Mytilus edulis: one gene and its partners. The protein of the gene in region 2 interacts with the protein of the main gene of each other region in a pairwise test. Links are inferred from orthologs where the notes say so. Each region holds a gene or a part of one and is shown on either strand. Other genes may lie near its edges.

Region 1 (7,192 bases), on a different chromosome or scaffold from region 2:
TGTGACTAATGGATGGAGAGTTGTCTAATTGGCACTCATAACCACATCTTTTCAGATCTATGTTCACCATTAGTTTTGTAGATAAATATACTAAAGGATCCTACATCAAAATGTCTAATGACAGAATATACAAATGTATAAAGAGAGCTGTTTATGGGAAAACATAAATTATACCCATTTAGGTAGGTGGCCTAAAAAGACTCTACCCAAAACCAAACCTACCCTGAATATAAATTCATAATAGCCATCTAGTAGGTGGCCTAAGTTGGAAACACTCTGAATTAACACCTTCATAGAAAGACAAAAAGACTCCATCCCAAACCAAACCCACACTATAAATTATACCCATTTAGTAGGTGGCCTAAAGACTCCACCCAAAACCAAACCCACACTATAAATTATACCCATTTAGTAGGTGGCCTAAAAACTCCACCCAAAACCAAACCCACACTATAAATTATAGCCATTTAGCAGGCAGCCTAAAGACTCTACCCCAAACCAAACACACACTATAAATTATAGCCATTTAGTTGGTGGCCTACAGACTCCACCCCAAACTAAACCCACACTATAAATTATAGCCATATAGTAGGTGGCCTAAAGACTCCACCCCAAACCAAACCCTAACTATAAATTATAGCCATTTAGTAGGTGGCCTAAAGACTCCACCCCAAACCAAACCCACACTATAAATTATAGCCATTTAGTAGGTGGCCTAAAGACTCTACCCCAAACCAAACCCACACTATAAATTATAGCCATTTAGTAGGTGGCCTAAAGACTCCACCCCAAACTAAACCCACACTATAAATTATAGCCATTTAGTAGGTGGCCTAAAGACTCCACACCAAACCAAATACACACTATAAATTATAGCCATTTAGTAGGTGGCCTAAAGACTCCATCCCAAACCAATCCCGCACTATAAATTATAGCCATTTAGTAGGTGGCCTAAAGACTCCACCCCAAACTAAACCCACACTATAAATTATAGCCATTTAGTAGGTGGCCTAAAGACTCTACCCCAAACCAAACCCACACTATAAATTATAGCCATTTAGTAGGTGGCCTAAAGACTCCACCCCAAACTAAACCCACACTATAAATTATAGCCATTTAGTAGGTGGCCTAAAGACTCCACACCAAACCAAACCCACTATAAATTATAGCCATTTAGTAGGTGGCCTAAAGACTCCACCCCAAACTAAACCCACACTATAAATTATAGCCATTTAGTAGGTGGCCTAAAGACTCCACCCCAAACCAAACCCACACTATAAATTATAGCCATTTAGTAGGTGGCCTAAAGACTCCATCCCAAACCAAACCCACACTATAAATTATACCCGTTTAGTAGGTGGCCTAAAGACTCCACCCCAAACCAATCCCACACTATAAATTATACCCGTTTAGTAGGTGGCCTAAAGACTCCATCCCAAACCAAACCAACACTATAAATTATAGCCATTTAGTAGGTGGCCTAAAGACTCCACCCCAAACTAAACCCACACTATAAATTATAGCCATTTAGTAGGTGGCCCAAAGACTCCACCCCAAACCAAACCCACACTATAAATTATAGCCATTTAGTAGGTGGCCTAAAGACTCCATCCCAAACCAAACCCACACTATAAATTATACCCGTTTAGTAGGTGGCCTAAAGACTCCACCCCAAACCAAACCCACACTATAAATTATAGCCATTTAGTAGGTGGCCTAAAGACTCCATCCCAAACCAATCCCGCACTATAAATTATAGCCATTTAGTAGGTGGCCTAAAGACTCCACCCCAAACTAAACCCACACTATAAATTATAGCCATTTAGTAGGTGGCCTAAAGACTCTACCCCAAACCAAACCCACACTATAAATTATAGCCATTTAGTAGGTGGCCTAAAGACTCCACCCCAAACTAAACCCACACTATAAATTATAGCCATTTAGTAGGTGGCCTAAAGACTCCACACCAAACCAAACCCACTATAAATTATAGCCATTTAGTAGGTGGCCTAAAGACTCCACCCCAAACTAAACCCACACTATAAATTATAGCCATTTAGTAGGTGGCCTAAAGACTCCACCCCAAACCAAACCCACACTATAAATTATAGCCATTTAGTAGGTGGCCTAAAGACTCCATCCCAAACCAAACCCACACTATAAATTATACCCGTTTAGTAGGTGGCCTAAAGACTCCACCCCAAACCAATCCCACACTATAAATTATACCCGTTTAGTAGGTGGCCTAAAGACTCCATCCCAAACCAAACCAACACTATAAATTATAGCCATTTAGTAGGTGGCCTAAAGACTCCACCCCAAACTAAACCCACACTATAAATTATAGCCATTTAGTAGGTGGCCTAAAGACTCCACACCAAACCAAATACACACTATAAATTATAGCCATTTAGTAGGTGGCCTAAAGACTCCATCCCAAACCAATCCCACACTATAAATTATAGCCATTTAGTAGGTGGCCTAAAGACTCCACCCCAAACTAAACCCACACTATAAATTATAGCCATTTAGTAGGTGGCCTAAAGACTCTACCCCAAACCAAACCCACACTATAAATTATAGCCATTTAGTAGGTGGCCTAAAGACTCCACACCAAACTAAACCCACACTATAAATTATAGCCATTTAGTAGGTGGCCTAAAGACTCCACACCAAACCAAACCCACACTATAAATTATAGCCATTTAGTAGGTGGCCTAAAGACTCCACACCAAACCAAACCCACACTATAAATTATAGCCATTTAGTAGGTGGCCTAAGTATGAAACACTCTGGTAATGATGTAGCATATGTGAGACAACAGTAAAACTGACAAGGAGATGGCTTCACTCCAATACTGGTATTTATCACCCATCAATAAACATATCACTCAGTGTTGTCTACGTATACAAAACATAGATATGGTAACAATTATCATTAATAAACACCATCATCTCTCCGATGATCTTAATACATCATATACTGTCTACATACTGATTAAATAACAACTTTTTTTTACACCCTTGGCCTTTTTTAAATAATTTTTCAATACCTTTGACACAGTAATACAAGAGATTAAAAGCAAAACTGTATACATGATAAAAACATTTGTTTTTCTTGCTGTGAAAAATAAATCAGTGGCAATTAGTTTTACATTTTAGAATATAGATGCCCAATAGGCAAATGATAGATAATGTTCTTGATTACATGTAGCCTGAATCAAGCAACCTTTCACTATAACAATAAGCATGGTCTAACTTTGAACATAGACCTAAACTGCTGGTTTTGTTACCAGTCCCAATAAATTTAATCTGCTTACTGTAGCCACTTTGAAAATAATGGTTGTGGTCTAAAGCACAACACTTGATTCATAACACTAAACAACAATTAAGTAATGACTTAAAGACTAATATCTTGAAAAACTGACCACACTATGTCAGCTTGGCTTAAGAATAATGGCTCTTCAGTCATAATAACCGACAAATTAGTTAAGCTTTGCCTAATCCTATACATCAAAAACATCATATTCTTTCATAAGTTGGTAGAGTAACTCATATACTTTTTCACTCTCTCTGCCAAATAGTTAACACACATTGCTTGTTTTATGTATTTTTTTTTTACATCTAATGTTCACTTCTGGTCCAAATACCTCTTGTTCATGAATTAAAGCATCTACATGTATTTGTGCCATATCTAAACTATGATGTTTTAGGAAGTATCTGGTTGTCAAAATGCCACAATCTTAATATCTGTGTTCTCTGGTGTGTTGATGCATTTGAAATTTATGACATGGAATATGCTTCATGCACCTGTATCATACTATTCGTGCATAATGTGCACTGTAGTTGTGTAATGAACCGAGGTCATACCATTTGACTGGACGTCTGCTTTTTCACTATTTGTTGGAAAGTATATGATCAAAGAGAAATTCATTGGCTATAATTCCTTGTCAGTTTGTGATATTTAAATGGTTTAGACTTAACCTTACAGCATAAATCATAATTAATTCTCCTAAAGTACATCTCATTGACAAATTATCTAACAGCTGATCGCTACAACTTGGCGCTATTCACTTGCCAAAGTATAACATTGTTGCATATGAGCAAACAACAGCTATAAATTTTCAACTTTTTTTATCTTTTTTACAAAAAAGTACAATTGCATGTACTTTTGACATATGACTTTTCAGCTTAATGTGAATACTGTACAACCTAAGGATGCTTCATACATGTATCATTCAACGATTCCCCTAATTGTTTCTAGTGTTGATCAAATGATGCTGTCAAAATGTGCGTTGCATTAGATAGGAAATTCTTGTGATTCCCTGTCAGTGCCTGGTGACATTTATTATGATGTTCAATAGGCTCGGTGGAATTTTCTTCTGGGGAAGCAGTGGTGATGAGGTAAGAGCTTGTTTACCTTTTATTTAAGTACGGGGACTTAGTTTTACTTGTCGGATACCAATTTTTGTGGATTTCATAGGTACAGGTAAACCATAAGTTTAAATGTTAAAATAATCGTAAATTTTCTATAGGAGGGTGTGCAGACTTTGTGGCAAAACCTTGAAATCTAATATCCACTTTTTAAAAACCTACTGTTGAAGAAGGGACCTGTTACCATATTCAATGTTTGTCAGTTAAGGTCAAAAACAAAAGCTGACATTTCTTAAAAAAATTGCATGTATATTTAGCAATTTGCATATATCAATAATTAATTTACATAATGATCAACTAAGGACCAACTGTTGTATTAATATTACATAACTTTGATTTTTTTTAAAATAAAACAAATAAAGATACAATTTTGTAAAAAATAAAATTGAGAATGGAAATGGGGAATGTGCCAAAGAAACAACAACCCGACCATAGAAAAAAACAACAGCAGAAGGTCACCAACAGGTCTTCAATGTAGCGAGAAATTCCCCCACCCAGAGGCGTCCTTCAACTGGCCCCTAAACAAATATATACTAGTTCAGTTTTAAAATAAGTTTACTAATAAGGATTATCCTAAAAACTACCTTAAAACCTACCAAAAACTGAATTAAAACACTGTCGTTTGAAATAAATAATTTTCCCGCTCTTTTTCCAACTATGTCTCACATTTTCTATTTTTAGCTGCATGATTTTAAGAGGATCACACATTTATATAAATAATTAAGACTTCTCTCAGACTGACTTATGACATCTGCTTATGATCTATAATGTAACAAAGTAAATCACATGGAAAGTCTAAAGGAACTAAAAATTAATTACTGCATACTTGTAAGAATCTGCCACTTGTTTTATTGATCTTATGCTTTGCATGTATACATGTCTCTCTATTTATAATTTTGACGGTAATGTAAGCAGGATCATACAGGACTTTTTGTGCCTACCATTGGATTTTTGAATTTGCTTCTCAAAAATAAAATAAACATACAAAAGTTTTCTTTAATTTTCCTCTTATAAAAATTCTGTCTTTAAATGTTAAGAATACAGAAATGCTTTATTATCATTGGTTCAATTGAACCAGAGGATTTATTGATACATGAACTCAGAAAACCCTTAGCAAGGCCCCTCACCTGAATTCCAACAATAATGAAAAGAGTATGCCTTGTATATTTATGTTACTAATTCCATTTTTACCATAGTAATGCATCCCAGACTTTTGACTTTCTCCGCCAAAATCATCATAGCATATACGTCATACATTGAAGTTATGACGTTTGATATTATCTTACGAGTATAACAGTTACATTGCTTTATTGTCAAGGGCTGAAGATCATTTACACTTGACCACAGGGCCAATTGCCCTTATTACACCGCATGTTGACTATTGAAACACATACTGTACACATAGAACATACCTTGCCAGTTGTAGTCTTATATCTGAATGCTTTTTCTTTTAAATTTGTTGTCAGTAGCAGATCTTTTACATGTTTTATGGAATCTGCGTAATTTATTTCTAACTTATAAATTATTGATTAGGAACACTTTGGAGCTTCAATGACAAGTTAATGTTTGTATTTTCGAAGTCAATAGACCATGACTAAGGGGGCGGGGCCAAATTATCTCCATGGAAATGAGATATGCCAATGTTTATACAACTGCATACCAAATATGATTGACCTTCCCCTTGTGGTTTACCATAATTAAACTAGTGCTAATCACAAACTAATACATTGTTGACGCCGTCGCCGGAAACAGCATACCTATGTCTCGCTTTTTGACTCTGTCAAGGCGAGACAAAAATTAGTACATTTTAGTTGTCTGACCAAAACAAGTTGAACAAGTTGATGATATTATTAAGAAAAACAGACAATTTCAGAATTTTGTTGTTGAACTTCAACAATCTGTAACAGATGTCGCTATTTTTTAAACATTTGAATTGCTATAGTAAGTCAAATATGGATTCAACCTATAATACTATGGATATACAATACACAAAATAACAATCATGTTCAAAAACCCCCATCTGTTCTGATACAATATAGATATATTTTGGTATGCAACTGGATAGGTTAAATAATAAATTGATTAGCACTGATGTGATCTTGTCTGACAGATGTAAGTCATGCTTATTGATACATAGTTTAAAAGATCAACATAGGGATCAATCTTCTACAGCAAACACGGATCTGTTTACTGCCAAATTTCAAATGTAACTCAAAAGGAAAGTTGTGCTTACTACAAATATTTACTGCTTGTTTACAGGAATTTGTTTGAATTCATAAATTATGCATGAAAGGTGGACATATGGTTTAATAAATACAAGGTATATCATTGTTCCAAAATCAATCTATCAATAACTGCTGTGACCTTCACCTTTGACCTTATAATTCAAAAATCCATAGGGGTCTGTCTTCTTCCTTCTCTTATTGGATTACAAACGAGTCTGAAACCAAACCATGATTGATAGATATCATATTTTGTTCAAATGACATCCTTTTAAAATCAAATGTTGCCACAATTTCTGTGTCAAATGTATTTGTAACCATGACCTTTGACCTTGTAATCTTTAGGTCACTAGAACTTTTTTTTTCATTCCATGAAGGCATTATCAACCCAAATTTTATAAAAGATTCATTAAGGCGTAAACAAATCTTGTCAAGAAACCAAAATATTGACATCTGGATACTCAAACCACCTTGAGCAATAATAGAAATCATCATATATAATAAATTTTTAAAACCTATTATGAATCTACCCTGTGC
Region 2 (7,542 bases):
ATTTTACCCAATTTCATGGTCTATTGAACATGGAAAATGATAGTGCGAGTGGGGCATCCGTGTACTTTGGACACGTTCTTGTTTTATTGCTGCTTTGATGTCTTCTTAAATTGAAGCTTAATGCAATCATTTTGGTAGGTTATATGCCGATAGATAATGCTGTCGTCTGCAAAGAGTCTTATTTTACTGTTACCAAGAAGGTCGTTAATATCATACTAGAACATGGAGAACTGAGAGTATTGGTGCTATTACAGTCCGCTGAGGAACTTGTCTATTCAGTAGACTCTTGCTTCGTAAATTTTTATCACATACGTTCATTTGAAAGACATGCGTATGACTTTATTCAGAGAAAGATCGAATCAAATAAAATCAAATAACTCAAATAAAATGTATACTAAGTCGGTTAATTAAAAAGCATATATAACGCTTGGGAAGTTTGCCAGTTGTCATGATTTGTGTACATTTGTTTCTATCAAGGCTAGAAAAGTTTGCCAGTTGTTATATTTGTGTACATTTGTTTCTATCAAGGCTTGAAAAGTTTATTGTTGGGTTTGCCAGTTGTTATATTTGTGTACATTTGTTTCTATCAAGGCTTGAAAAGTTTATTGTTGGGTTTGCCAGTTGTTATATTTGTGTACATTTGTTTCTACCAAGGCTTGAAAAGTTTGCCAGTTGTTATATTTGTGTACATTTGTTTCTATCAAGGCTTGAAAAGTTTGTTGTTGGTTTGCCAGTTGTTATATTTGTGTACATTTGTTTCTATCAAGGCTTGAAAAGTTTATTGTTGGGTTTGCCAGTTGTTATATTTGTGTACATTTGTTTCTATCAAAGCTTGAAAAGTTTGCCAGTTGTTATATTTGTGCACATTTGTTTCTATCAAGGCTTGAAAAGTTTATTGTTGGGTTTGCCAGTTGTTATATTTGTGTACATTTGTTTCTGTCAAGGCTTGACAAGTTTGCCAGTTGTTATATATTTGTGTACATTTGTTTCTGTCAAGGTTTGAAAAGTTTGCCAGTTGATATATTTGTGTACATTTGTTTCTATCAAGGCTTGGAAAGTTTGCCAGTTGTTATATTTGTGTACATTTGTTTCTATCAAGGCTTGGAAAGTTTGCCAGTTGTTATATTTGTGTACATTTGTTTCTATCAAGGCTTGAAAAGTTTATTGTTGGTGCATGATTGAGGATTTGTTGCATCTTATATACTTGTTTATACTCAATTGAATTATAGTATGGAGCTAAGCAATATTTATACACTTTTAACAGACGATTATATCAATTAATGGTAAAAAATATATAACAATGGAACAATATCAAAATGAAACCTTTAGCATGTAGTTTTATTAAATTGAACTACACTTGACTGTTTCGGAGATCCGAGAAAATATTCAAATATCTGAGTCACATCAAACATCTTCACATATAAATAAAACCTTTGTTGTGTACAACATGTACAAATTTTAACCAAAAGATATCTTCTTCATCTTCTTGTGCTTCTTCAATATCTTCTTCTTGCAGCATACGTGCCTGTTGTAATGCACTATCCAGTTTGTATACAGAAATCTTCAAATGGAAATAATTACAGTACATGACTGTATGTTTCATTTTGATACGTTATTCCTATTGTCTACCAGCAATCTCACGTCATTCAGAAATCAACCTTAATTTCCAAATCATCGGAAATATAACATTCGTGATGACAAGAGATACTTCTATTAAGTACACAGGTAAATAAAAGAAAAACTTTAACAGTCGTGTTTTCATGATCCTTCCTCGCTTCATACAAAATGTACTTCGGTCAACGCTTTTACACCTCTAAACATTTATGACATGCACAGCTGTAATATTCTCTGTGTGCTTCTTGGTTCAACGGTTGTCTGCTGCCAAGAATGCTGTTCTTCCATTTTCTTTTTCTGGTGGATGGAACCAGCAACTGCTTCGAATTTTTAACGGGTTTAATTTGATCAATTTGCATCCCGCTGTGTGAGTAACGTTGCCGTGTTGATTTTTTTGTACCACTTGTTCTTTCGTTATTTCTGGAACGCATGGTTTGTGCCGTTTATACAGTGGCGCCCTATCAGGAAGTTTTGTGCTGTTTCATATCCTCCGAAATCACACAGCTATGTTGTAGACCGCCCAAGTGTATATTCATTGTGGTCCAGATCCATTTATCCTTATGTCATAATTGTTTGTAATGTGACTTAGCTGGATATTAAGAATATATGTCATTTACCATTTGCATAAAAGGGTAATTAGCTGTTAAAAGTTTTAACTGATTTGACTCAAATTCTCATATTTAAATTATACATACTAAAACGTATACCCAAATAATAAAAAGTTTAAACTACACAATTGACGATGCACGGACTCGATCATATGTATCAATATTTCATGTGTATTTTAGTCTAAATGCCATCTAATCAGTAAGCATCGAGGTAATCTCAGAAGACTGCCGACGATCATATAACCCGATTTAACTTAAAATAGATAGCGAACTGAGTACTCGTGCAATTGTATTTTTTCAGGTCTGTTTGAATTAATATCGTAGGTTTAAAACATATGTTTATAATCGTTTTTACCTGTATAACAATTTTTTTTTTAATCCAATCAGTCATTTTTATATAACTTAGACCGTTGGTTTTCCCGTTTGAATGGTTTTACATTACTAATTGTTGGTGCCCTTTATAGCTTGCTTTTCGGTGTGAGCCAAGGCTCTGTGTTGAAGGCCGTACCTGGACCTATAATGGTTTACATTTATAAATTGTTATTTGGATGGAGAGTTGTCTCATTGGCACTCATACCACATATTTATAATAGTCAGTCAGTGAATAATTAAAAAAAAATAAAAATTGAATGGATGATTCCTAGCCATGAAAATTTGTCCTGCTCATGTAACTGTGATGATTCCAACAATGATGCAGATAACAATGTATCACAATTTTCAGTACTCTAACATTTCATGAATTGTTTCTAGAACAGTGAATAACGCCAAACCTCTCCCATTCCACCAATATTTATGTTTTTGTTCACAGTGATAAACAGTTACATATTTTTAATCAACTTTCTTTGCTCAAGATTAAAAAAAAAAGCAATATTATCTGGGGGTTACTTTTTCGAGAAACTCCACATCTCATTACCATATAATACACCTAATCGCTATTTATTCCATTCCGGATAAGTTCTAAAATTACACAACTTTTTCATCCAGTTGAAGCTATCTTGGACCCTGTTTAAACAATTCACCATGCATGATACTTTTTAATGAGACCTGTTTAAACTACCGTAAATACTTCAAACAAAATATTTTTTTTACTTCAATTTTAATTTCGAAAAAAGTGGATCATACTATATCAAAGTTTCTTGATGATCACTTTCTAATTTTTTTTCTCCCTCAGCTCACTACTGGTGACCTCCATTTTTTGGCCGGTGACCCAAACAGGAAGTTGTATAAATGACTGTTTTTCCCGGAATGGACTAAATAGCGATCAGGTGTATAGAATTGGCTTCTCTGCTAAGGCAGCAAGCATTTGATTTTCTGGGGGGGGGGGGGGGGGGGGCTATGTTTTTTTTTGGAAAAAAAAGTTTGTTTCCATTTTTTGGAGAAAAAAAATCATTTGTTTTTGATTCTGAGAAAAAAAAAATGTTTGTTTCACCCTCAGCTGCCACTATATGTAATGCTAAAATTGAAAGAAAAAAGATGTTTTCGACTTGTCGCGAAAAAAATCACAGGTGCTTGAGGACAGGATCCTGTATGAGCCCCAAATAGTCCCTCCCCCTTTTTTAAAATTTTTTTTTTTTAATCATAAATCTCAGATTTTTCTATATATATCCCTTATTTGTACCATATATATACTAATATACCATATTTATACTCTAAATATGCATGTTTACTATCAATAGTATAAATATGGTATATTAGTATATATATGGTACAAATAAGGGATATATATAGACAAATCTGAGATTTATGATTAAAAAAAAAATTTAAAAAAAGGGGGAGGGACTATTTGGGGCTCATACAGGATCCTGTCCTCAAGCACCTGTGAAAAAAATAGATTGTTTTTCGCAGCAGGCAAAAAAAAAATTGTCCCCCCCCCCCCCCCCCCCCGAAAATCAAATGGTTGCTGCCTTATCAAAAATACGAAAACATGTTTTTATCTAATATAAAACATATTTATCGTTTAAGATCAACTGACTCTTATGCTCAGAATTCATTTGTTGTCATGTTTAAAAGAAGTCGTGTTGGTATTTGGGTGAGTCTAAACGCGGACCTCTAAGAGGACACCTCCATGTTTCGTTCTTTCGGAATTTCGGATTTGAGCCTCAGGAGGAATCAATTTTTTAAGATTATTATATTGGTTAAGCTCACCGTTCATTGTAAACACTACAAAAAAAATCCATTTTGAAACAAACATTTTGAATTTTCACAAAATATAAAAACATTTGGAAATTATAAATAGAAAATAAGTATAACAATCCTGAAATAGCGGATCCCTTTAATCACGTGATTTATTAGTTTTGAATAGCCGCCATCTTTGCTGTTTCCTGTTTGTGGTCGTTTCCTGATTATCGTGAAGTGTCGCCAAACAATAATCCTGCATAAAATTAAGAGATAAAAATCACTGCAACAAATGTGTTTGCCATAAATTAATCACATCCTAGCGATTGCTTAAATAATAATAGACAGAATCTTGCAAACCACGAAGTGGGTGTGAGCACAAGAACACCAGCTTTTCGCAAGACATGCCGGTCAGAAAACAAGGTGCATTGCATTCCTGTTTATCATGAATATGTATATAATCAGTGTATAAAAGGCACATTGTTATAACCACGTTATATATTACAATAGTCACTATTGTAATATATCTGGGATATCTGGTCAACAAATTATTGCTTATTATCTTTTCAATCACATAGACCTTATGTCAAAAAAGAACAACTGTAGGTTGAAATTCATAAATAAAACAGTCTTAATGTGCAGTAAATATATGGTATTGTGTCCGTTAGCCCTGATAGGATGCTTGCCCAGGGACTGTTCACCCTGAGTCTATTTCCCCATAGAGTCTGTACGCCCTGGATATTAAACTTCTCCATTCTTTTATTGAAAAATATTTGTATGAGGGTGTCAAAGTTGAATATACTTATTCAGATATTTATATGGTATATAAATTCTAGTATAAATGAAAACACATGAAAATATTTAAAATTAATGGCGTGTTTGTGAGAATTGTAATTGTTCTTAATACTATATCTCTCACTGCTTGTCATAATAATTAATTGTCTTTGATGGATGAATAATAAAAACAACATTTTGTTTTGATAATTTAGTCAGCTTGAAATTTGAAATGAGTAAAAACAATTGTGTAGGAATTGTAAAACATAAGTTCATTCATTATAATATAATATAAATTGACTGACTAGAATTATTAAAATTGTAAAAGATATCAATATTAAAAGATAAATACATTGTATTCCAAAATTCTACTATGCAGACTAAAGGAAAATATTTGGTTGCAGCAATACAAATATTTTAGCAAATTTTTCCACATAAAGTAACATACTTTGTTCATGTTCAAATATTATATGAACATGATAGTGCAACTAGACAACAATATAAAAAACAAAAATCTGGGCAAACAGGTATAAGTGCAAACTAACCCTGGTTCTAAAATTACAACAACAAAAAACAGTCTTCACGCTGAACTGCTAAATTTACAGGCCCGCAGCTTAATTTTTGAAATTTTTTAGTTAGTTTCTGTTGGTCTGTAGGTCTGATTTTTTCAGGCCTGAGAGAAATTTTACCAGTTTTACCAGCCTGAGCTGCCACTCGGCGTGAAGACTGCAAAGGCTTTTGCTTTACTATAAAAGTTAACATGCATCTTCTTGATGAATTAACTCAAATAATTCATTTGCTCCCCATGAAAGATTTTCTCTACTGTGAGAACCTGAATTCCTTTTATGATTAAAACATGTTCTCATCAATGTTCTCTGTGTGAGAGAGTCAATCAGCAGAAATACAATGTTATTGAGGTAGATAAAAAAAAACAAAAAAAAGAAACATTTAAATTGAGTTATAAATCTAGTGAAAACAAGACCTACGTGTATAATTGTTAATTTCTGTGTCATTTGATCTCTTGTGGAGAGTTGTTTCATTGGCAATATTAGTGAATCATACCATATCTTCTTTTTTATATGCACAAACTGGCCAAACCATCGCCTCGATTAAAAAAAATTGTACCATTAATAATATATATGAGAAATTAAAAAGTATATTGTCTGTGAGAAACTGTTCTCAAACTCTCTCCCACTTGCAAAATAAAATATCCCATTGTAACTTGGCCCATCTGCGTTCTTGATATGTTCTAGCTATAGTCTTTTAAATTTATACACACCACTTAAAAAATGCTTAAGTAACGGCTCGTGTAGTAAATTTAAATCTTATACTATTTTAGTGTTTTAACTTATTTTCAAATTCAACATTTTATAACTAAAATGAAACAAATTCAGGAAATATGCCTGACTTTTTTTCTGAAATTGAATAGTCCTTATCTGATTTATGAAAAATTTACATGCACATGCAAATTTCTCAAAATATCTAATTTTTTTGTTACTTCATGTAAGTGCTAGTGATTACATACATGTATTCAGTGAAAGCTTCATCTTTTGGTTTACGCTTTCCTGGATACATGTACCTGAGGCTGATTGTTTATGTCTTTGAAAATGAAGAGGTTACTGCGAACAGGTGAATGTTGCTTTCGAACAAGATGTTTAATACAATTTTGCATTTTTCTTTTTTCTCTTCTTTTCATAGATGCCCACAGGGCTTTAGAATTGTTAGAGGACTACCATTCCAGGCTTAGTCTTCCACAAGACACCCAGCTCAAGGTTGCTATAGAGAAAGTCATAAGAATTTTCAAAAGTCGCCTATTTCAGGCACTTCTTGGTATGTAAAATTAATATTTAAGGTGGAAGTTCTTCTTTTATTTAAGACAGAGTGATTGGCTCAATTTTTGGAATACAACATTTTTACATAAGGTACATGCACATGATCCACATTAACTTAGTTTGCATGATACGCAATGATTAAGGCCTTTATTATTATCTACATGTATATAAAAACTGAATATTATTGCATTTCAATAACAAGTGATTTGCACAAAGTTACTGATTTAGTATTAGTTATAATTACTGCATTACAAATTTATAATAATGGTTTTATACTTTGCTTAACAAAGCAAGGACTGTAGTACTGAATTTGGCATGTACAGAGGCTAAAATTATGTTCATGGTTTTAACCTATTTAAATGTTACATAATGTACTATCACATTAGAATAAAAAAAAAATGTATCTGGTATAAATGGAGCTAATTGAAAATGATACTAACTTCTGTTTTCAGACATACAAGAGTTTTATGAGTATACATTGTTAGATGACTCAAAATCTATACAACAGAAGACATTGGAGACCTTACAGATAGCTAACAAGTGGGAGAGAGAACCACCTATCACCAATGCTCTTCCTAAACTTGAGGTTGTTATTGTAC
Region 3 (6,948 bases), on a different chromosome or scaffold from region 2:
TTTAAATTTCTGTAATAAATCAATAAAATTATGACTTAAGAAAATGCCTGTATATATATATATTCAAACATATATGTCACATATGATACAATTAGAAAAGTGCTCATTTAGAGATTCAAGTACAAATATGACATTTTTGTTCCTTTGATATTTGCAGATTTCTAAAAATATGAAATTACCAAAGCAAGCAATTGCCAGTCTAAAATTTGTACATCATAAAACACAAACATTAAAATTTCAATTGACACACATGTTGAATTTTATGTACAAATGTACATGTTTTATACCTGTACAATTTCCAAATTCAGATTTGTTTATGAAGAGAAAGCACTTTGTCTATTACTTTTTATTTAGCCCTGTACGTATATACATGTTTTTTCTTTAATTTGAACAACTTATCAAGCACTGTCAAGACTGTTCATTTCTTATGGTGTGTTGCTAAATTTTAATTTGTTGACAACTCTGGGAAAAGTTTACACTATTCTTTAAAACATAGAAAAATTAGTAGATCTCAAATTTCATTTACAAAGTTATACATTATAAAACAATACTATCATAATATCTAAAAAAAAAAAAAAATTAATTATGAAAACTTAAAGACACTTTTCAACTTTTTTTTTACAAATATATACATGCATTAAATCTAAAAAAAAATTAAGGAGCCAAAATCGGTAATACATGTACCTCACTCCTTAAAGTGAGCACTGAATGTATGAATTATATTTTGTACATATCAAAAAGAAGTACACACTGTTCTCACAAAAACATGATTTATCGATACACTTGAACAGGGCTACACAGTATTGTTTTTCCTTGATGAAACAAAACCTCCCAATTTTGCATTTATATCTTCAACTTCCCAATTAATTTGAGCCAAAATTTTATATAGACAAAAACATGATGGGGTTAGTCTTAATATTATGTTTCAGATCCTAAGCAGCTTAATATGTCAACAAGCAATCATACCACATCTTCTTTTTTATAGTTGATACTTTCCAACGTATTATACTTATAAATATAACATTAACTTTGACATGTATGGTCACTGCTGTTACTGGTATATATGTATAAAGTAAATAACAAAGACAACAGTCATCAAGTTACAATAGATGACTGCACATTTCATTTATGATACATCTTTATGCAGATAAAAGTATGTTTAACAACATTTGTTCTGATTATCAAATTAAACCTGGAGTCGTTCATCTGGCACCTAGTGTGTATTAATAATATTGACTTAATCCAAGAAACAGATAAGTACAACTGTATGTACAGTTGTACTTAACCTTTAAGAACTCTTTCAGGGGTCAAAATGATCTCTAAATTGTATTAATTTAGGGGCTCAGAGCTTACCACAACAGAGAGTGGGATTACTACCCTAATTTTCAACTCCATTCTTGAAATTTTGTTTAAAAAAGTCTCTGTCCCCTTGATTTGCAGTTAAATACCTCATGATTATTTAATTTGATCCAAGTTTGATACATTTAGAGATAATATTGTTGCATTAATTACAGTCATAGTGGGTACTACTGATGGCACTTCCAGTCTTCACACTGAATGGCAGCCCAGGCTTGTAAAATTTCTCTCGGGCCTGTTAAAATCATATCTACAGGCCAATAGAATCTAATTAATTTTTTTCAAAAATTGAGCTCCGGGCCTCTAGATTTAACAGTTCATCGTGAAGACTGCACTTCAGGTGACAGAAGTCAAAATTTGATCATTTGAATTTTAATTTTTCATAAATGAAAAAAAAAAATCTATAAGAGGGGAGAAAGATATATATCAGAGGGACTATACCGTACCGTATGGGGTTTAAACTAAGGTTGGTCATGTAAATTATTTACTGAAACCCTCATACACTTTTAAATGGCCTTGTAAATCATTTCTGATATACATGTATGTTTACATGGCAATATTATTTCGACATGTTGTTGAATTTGCAAAACATAACAAAATAAATATTGTAATATGGGAATACTTATTTTTACCAGCTTTATTATAAAACTTAATTGAAGCAGATGTAAATGTTGTGGTGGTCAGAGAGAAGGGGTACATGTTTTTAGAAAATACTGTACATGCATGTACACCAATAACTGAGGGTCGTAATAAGGGTACCTTCATGACGAATAACAGTAAAAAATCTTGCAAAATGACGTTAACAGTTATTTTTGGTGAATGACGATAAAATGTAGACTTTCTTTCAGATGATAAAAACATTGACTGATATTGACGAATCAGATTATTTTTTTTTCAAAATTAACGGTAACGATAATCATTTGAGACGAATAATGAATCACTGTAAATTTTAAACCAATATGACGATAAACAGGTGCCAAAAATGACTTGACACTTGACGTCAAAGGGCATTACTACCCTCATAACTGCTTCATAAATGCATCTGAAAAATTATGTGGTATATATACATTTGTACATGTACTATTTATCTATTACTCAGCAACAAGCAGGACGATGTCGATGCTATAAACTACTTAATACGAGGGTGTTTTAATACATAGATATTTCTTTGTGTAGGATATACAGGAATAAAGACTAAAACGACCGCGAATAATATTAAGAATTATGTACAATTGAAATGTTGTTCGACTACCGGAGTACCGCCGGTGGTGAATCACTTGAGATTCCTTGTAAGCTGAGGAGCTTCAAACTTTACTTACCAAAACTTCTACATAAATCTGTGACAATTAATGGAAACCTTAATCCACAATCCCATTTGCCTTAATGTCAAAGCATTGGATATTTCAATTCAAAATTTCGCTTTGTTTTCTAATGAACTATTCAAATTTCAGGAGACCATTTTGCTTTTGAATTTGCTATTGTGTAACCCACCCGCCAAAACTTGGAACAAAATAAAACGTATTCGTTAGAAAATAACTCCAAAAAAAAGTAACCACCTGTAAAACAACTAAACGAGAAAATTATAGTGCAGCAAAAGGATGAATAAAATTAAAGAATGAACTGAAAATGTGAAATAATGATTTAAATATGTGTGGGAGGTCAACAGAAGAGCTACATATCCGGTTAAATGGGACTTCCGGTGCATCTTTAAGCTGTCTGTGTACACCAAGGGCTACAAGTTTTTAGCTGTTTAGAGAAGGCCGAACAGAATATCCAGACATCAAAGTTAAAGGTATTAAAAGAATTTAATGAGAAGAAATAAAAATCGATCTATTTAAGCGTTGTCACATAGTCATAGTCATAAAATGTCCACCTGAATATAGGAAAAGGGGGGGGGGGGGGGATTTTGGTTTGTAAACCCCCCCATTGACAGAAACAAGTGCATGTGGGTTGAGGGGAAGACACCATCACCATTGTTCTCTCTGGACGACATGATTAAATTTTATATCAAAACGATATATGTCATACATCAGAGCAACAACCTTTTAAAATAAATTTATTACTAAGAATATTATAGACCAACAAGTCTGTTACAACAAACGAGCATTCATAGTTCCAAATAGCCAGACTGAATAGTTCAAAAACTCCACATTTGTACCCGGAGGACACATTAGTGTGTGTCACTTTAACTGAGGAGTTTCAAACAGCACTACTCAGCAAGCACGATTAAATCGTGCGCACAACAGCCCATCACACAATAGCTGGAAGGAATCTGTGATGCACTTAACCATATACAGAGGTGGAAAATACAGATGCATAGTGTACAAACTAATGATAAACTGACATTACAATACAACACATGCAATAAGTTACAACCCTTCATGAACTTCTTCCTTTGTATATCTGTATTCAAAAAAGGATAATGACATTGAAACAAGAAGTTATGCATAAAACTTTTCAAGGAGTCTGGAGAAAAGTCTAAACCTTTGTAAACAGGTCAAACAAAGAATTTGTATTACTTTTGATTTGTGTTTTAAAAAAAAGTTGATCATAATCTATTAAAGTTTCAAAATATTTGCTTTCTAAACTACATGTATGCTTTCCTTTAAAAGCTCATTACTGGTGACCTTTGTTTTTGAAACACTTGACCCAAATATAAAGTTGTTGAAGACTGAAATGACTGTTTTTTTCCCCAGATTGGACTAAATAGCAATACAAATAAAGTACCGCAAGCAATACTGGTGTCATCACCTTGTTTATAATAATTATGTCCTTAGCTTCCAGTGATCGGGAAGGACGTGCGCCCTGCGCCTATAGCGCATATTGACCAGAAATGGCGCATAGAGTGACAAATGTAAGGGCCCACGTGGCGCACAATATTTTTCACATCGTTTCGAAAAGTTTAGATATCGTCAAATGGATTTCATATCGTTTTCCGTGCCGCCATGTGTGTGTTTACAACTGTATAATGTTCCTCCAATCATTGGAGCACCAATATATTTTTGGGACGTCCCGGGTGTTTTCCTATGGTAATAGAACCATGCGGTTTTAAGTCTCGGGTGTTTTTCTATGGTAATAATAGAACCATGCGGTCTAAATGATAACCCAAAAAACGTAATTAACCATCATTCATGATATAACTTTTTATAAACAACTTTAAATTTATGAAATTTGGCTATTACAGACGAGATGTAACTCTAATCTTTTAATTTAGTTTAGCTTGCTATTATTTCGATTGAAAAAAACCCAAGTCTTTTTATGAATATAGTTTTTGTCTCCATAAAAGGCGCTTAACTGTCCTTGTCATTTTTTTGGTCTTTGGCTCGTTTTGACATTTTGTAAACATGACCTCAGCAAATAATTGTTTTGTTCTAACAATAATGGTACTCTCTGCTGTTAATCTTGTCAACGTGATGAAGTAATAATAATAATACAAGAAGTGCCTGAAATGTTCTCTAATACGGAACGTCTGCAATAAGTATGGTATCGACGAAGACCCAAATTTAATGTTAAAAATAAACAACCATGAACATGAACAAGCCAAGGCAACAGTACCAGTTTAAACTTTGTAATTTACAGATTATCTTTAATATTGTCTGTTTTGGAAGAAGTTATTGTATATTCTATTTCATTGAAATTACCGAATCACAGGAACAATATCCATGATATTATTTAAAATAATCAAGGTAAGTACCAACACCTCTTTGCCAAAAAATAATGATAATTTTTATTTTTTTACAGAAGTCAATTCAAATGGCCCAACCATTTGACAACATGGCCCATTATCTTTAAAAATGGCCCATTGAATTTATTTTTGAGGGGCCCTGGGCCCATAGTGAAAAAAACCTTCCAGATCACTGAGCTTCTCATCCCAGTCAAAACAGAAAAAAAGTATTGTCCTATGCAGGATTTTTCTTTACTTTGAATGAATTTTGAATTATTTTCATTTTGTTGTTTTCAAAACAGTCGTACACCCACTTGAAGGATTTTTTGAATGTTTTTAATTGGACATGAATAAAGAGGGGTGAAAGATACCAGATGGACATTCAAAAACATGATTTAAAGGGATAAATGTAAGTGAGATAGTAACTCAAAATTAAATTAGAGTAAGCATCCTAACAATTTATTGTCTTTACCATACATACAAATTAAACCCTAAATGGATAGAAAATGGACATTTTGTTGTAAGACTTTATGTTTCAGTTAATATTATAATACTACATATATGACATAAGACTACAATACATAAGAGTCTAAAAAAAAAAAAAATTCAACAAAACTTTGGTACAGAATTATTTTATATAATTTATAAAAGGATAGGATTTACAGGCTTTATTTATAATTGAAATTATTCATGTTTTCTTTTTCACAGGAAAATGTCACCACCAGAGCCCAAAGAATTCCTACCTGGAGTACCAGATTGGAGCACAGTACATGAACCATCTGGAGATCTGTTTAAGCCTATTACAGTGAGTGTTAATGCAACTAATAATATTTTAATGATTATTGTCTTGTCACAAGTTGTGTACTATTATTTGTCTGTTTGTCTTTCTCATTTTTATCCATGGCATTGTCAGTTTATTTTCAATCTATGATTTTGAATGTCCCTCTGGTATCTTTCGCTCCTTTTCTATCTCTACCTGAATCCTGTTTATAAGATGTTTTCAAACATAAACCTAGTTTTAAAGATGGACAGCGATTAAAATTTATTCACACAATGTCATTTTCACATGAAATCAACAATGTAAGTCTTAGTTAACTTAACATATAAATTATGTGGGATATGCTCAGAATTATCCAAGATACTGGAACAACAGACATTTGTGCATGTGCTTGTTATGTTACAAATAAAGGATAAAACAGTCAGTCACTGCTAAATTGACAACAACATTTAGTGTTACTGAACACATTTGAAGTGTATAAAGTCTACAATTTAATTTCTTCTACTCTTTTGACAACCCTGCATACCATCAGTATCCATTTAAGGGGGCTCGCGGGTCTAAATCAATTTTTTTATTTAATATAGGATTTCGCTATATTTTTCTATAAAAGAACTTTATTCTATTCTTAATAGAAAAAATAAATAAAAAAATGGGGTCACCGTTCATTTACGCTCACAATCTGGCTTCGAAAGAAGCATACATTTTTGTTAATGTCCTTTTTTTCTGTTGAACTAATAGGAGAAAAAGCGGTAATATCGAAATAAAAAAAGAACTAAATTACAGAAATCGTTTAAATTTTACAATTATTTAGTTTATGTACAGCTAATTCGAAAACAACAATAAAAAATATAGGTCACCGATGAGTTAAAAAAGATATTTCAATTTAAATGCCAAAAAATGGCATTTTTGCACCAAAGGGAGATAATTTGGAGCTTTTTCAATGATATCTACAATTTAAATGTCACCTGGGACCAACACGAATTGAGTTTTTGGAATGATTTTTGTACCATATGATAAAGAAACAACTACTAAAGGTAATTAATAAAATTTGTAATGAAAAATAAATGTTAAATTTTTTTCTGAAAATTTTATATCCGCGAGCCTCCTTAAGAAATCTCTACCTTCACCAAACTTTAGAGGCATTGGTTCA

What was found.
Region 1: the proteins of disks large homolog 1-like (region 2) and potassium voltage-gated channel subfamily A member 1-like interact in binary tests that used the Drosophila melanogaster proteins (3 or more experiments, as listed by UniProt). The link is inferred for Mytilus edulis from reciprocal best matches to the Drosophila melanogaster genes dlg1 and Sh.
Region 3: the proteins of disks large homolog 1-like (region 2) and vang-like protein 2-B interact in a two-hybrid assay, tested with the Drosophila melanogaster proteins (3 studies listed by BioGRID). The link is inferred for Mytilus edulis from reciprocal best matches to the Drosophila melanogaster genes dlg1 and Vang.

What each region holds. Positions count from the first base shown.
Region 1 is NC_092350.1:51,923,046-51,930,237, reverse strand, and holds the start of potassium voltage-gated channel subfamily A member 1-like, read left to right. Parts: upstream 1-4,172; 5' UTR 4,173-4,349; coding exon 4,350-4,403; intron 4,404-7,192.
Region 2 is NC_092346.1:79,105,721-79,113,262, forward strand, and holds the start of disks large homolog 1-like, read left to right. Parts: upstream 1-4,522; 5' UTR 4,523-4,741; coding exon 4,742-4,760; intron 4,761-6,809; coding exon 6,810-6,941; intron 6,942-7,395; coding exon 7,396-7,529; intron 7,530-7,542. UniProt on the Drosophila melanogaster protein: During embryonic development, some isoforms are essential for proper neuronal differentiation and organization. Required for cell polarity; maintenance of apicobasal polarity.
Region 3 is NC_092348.1:7,029,637-7,036,584, reverse strand, and holds the start of vang-like protein 2-B, read right to left. Parts: upstream 3,021-6,948; 5' UTR 2,676-3,020; intron 1-2,675. Other genes in the region: uncharacterized protein, read left to right, coding at 5,733-5,825.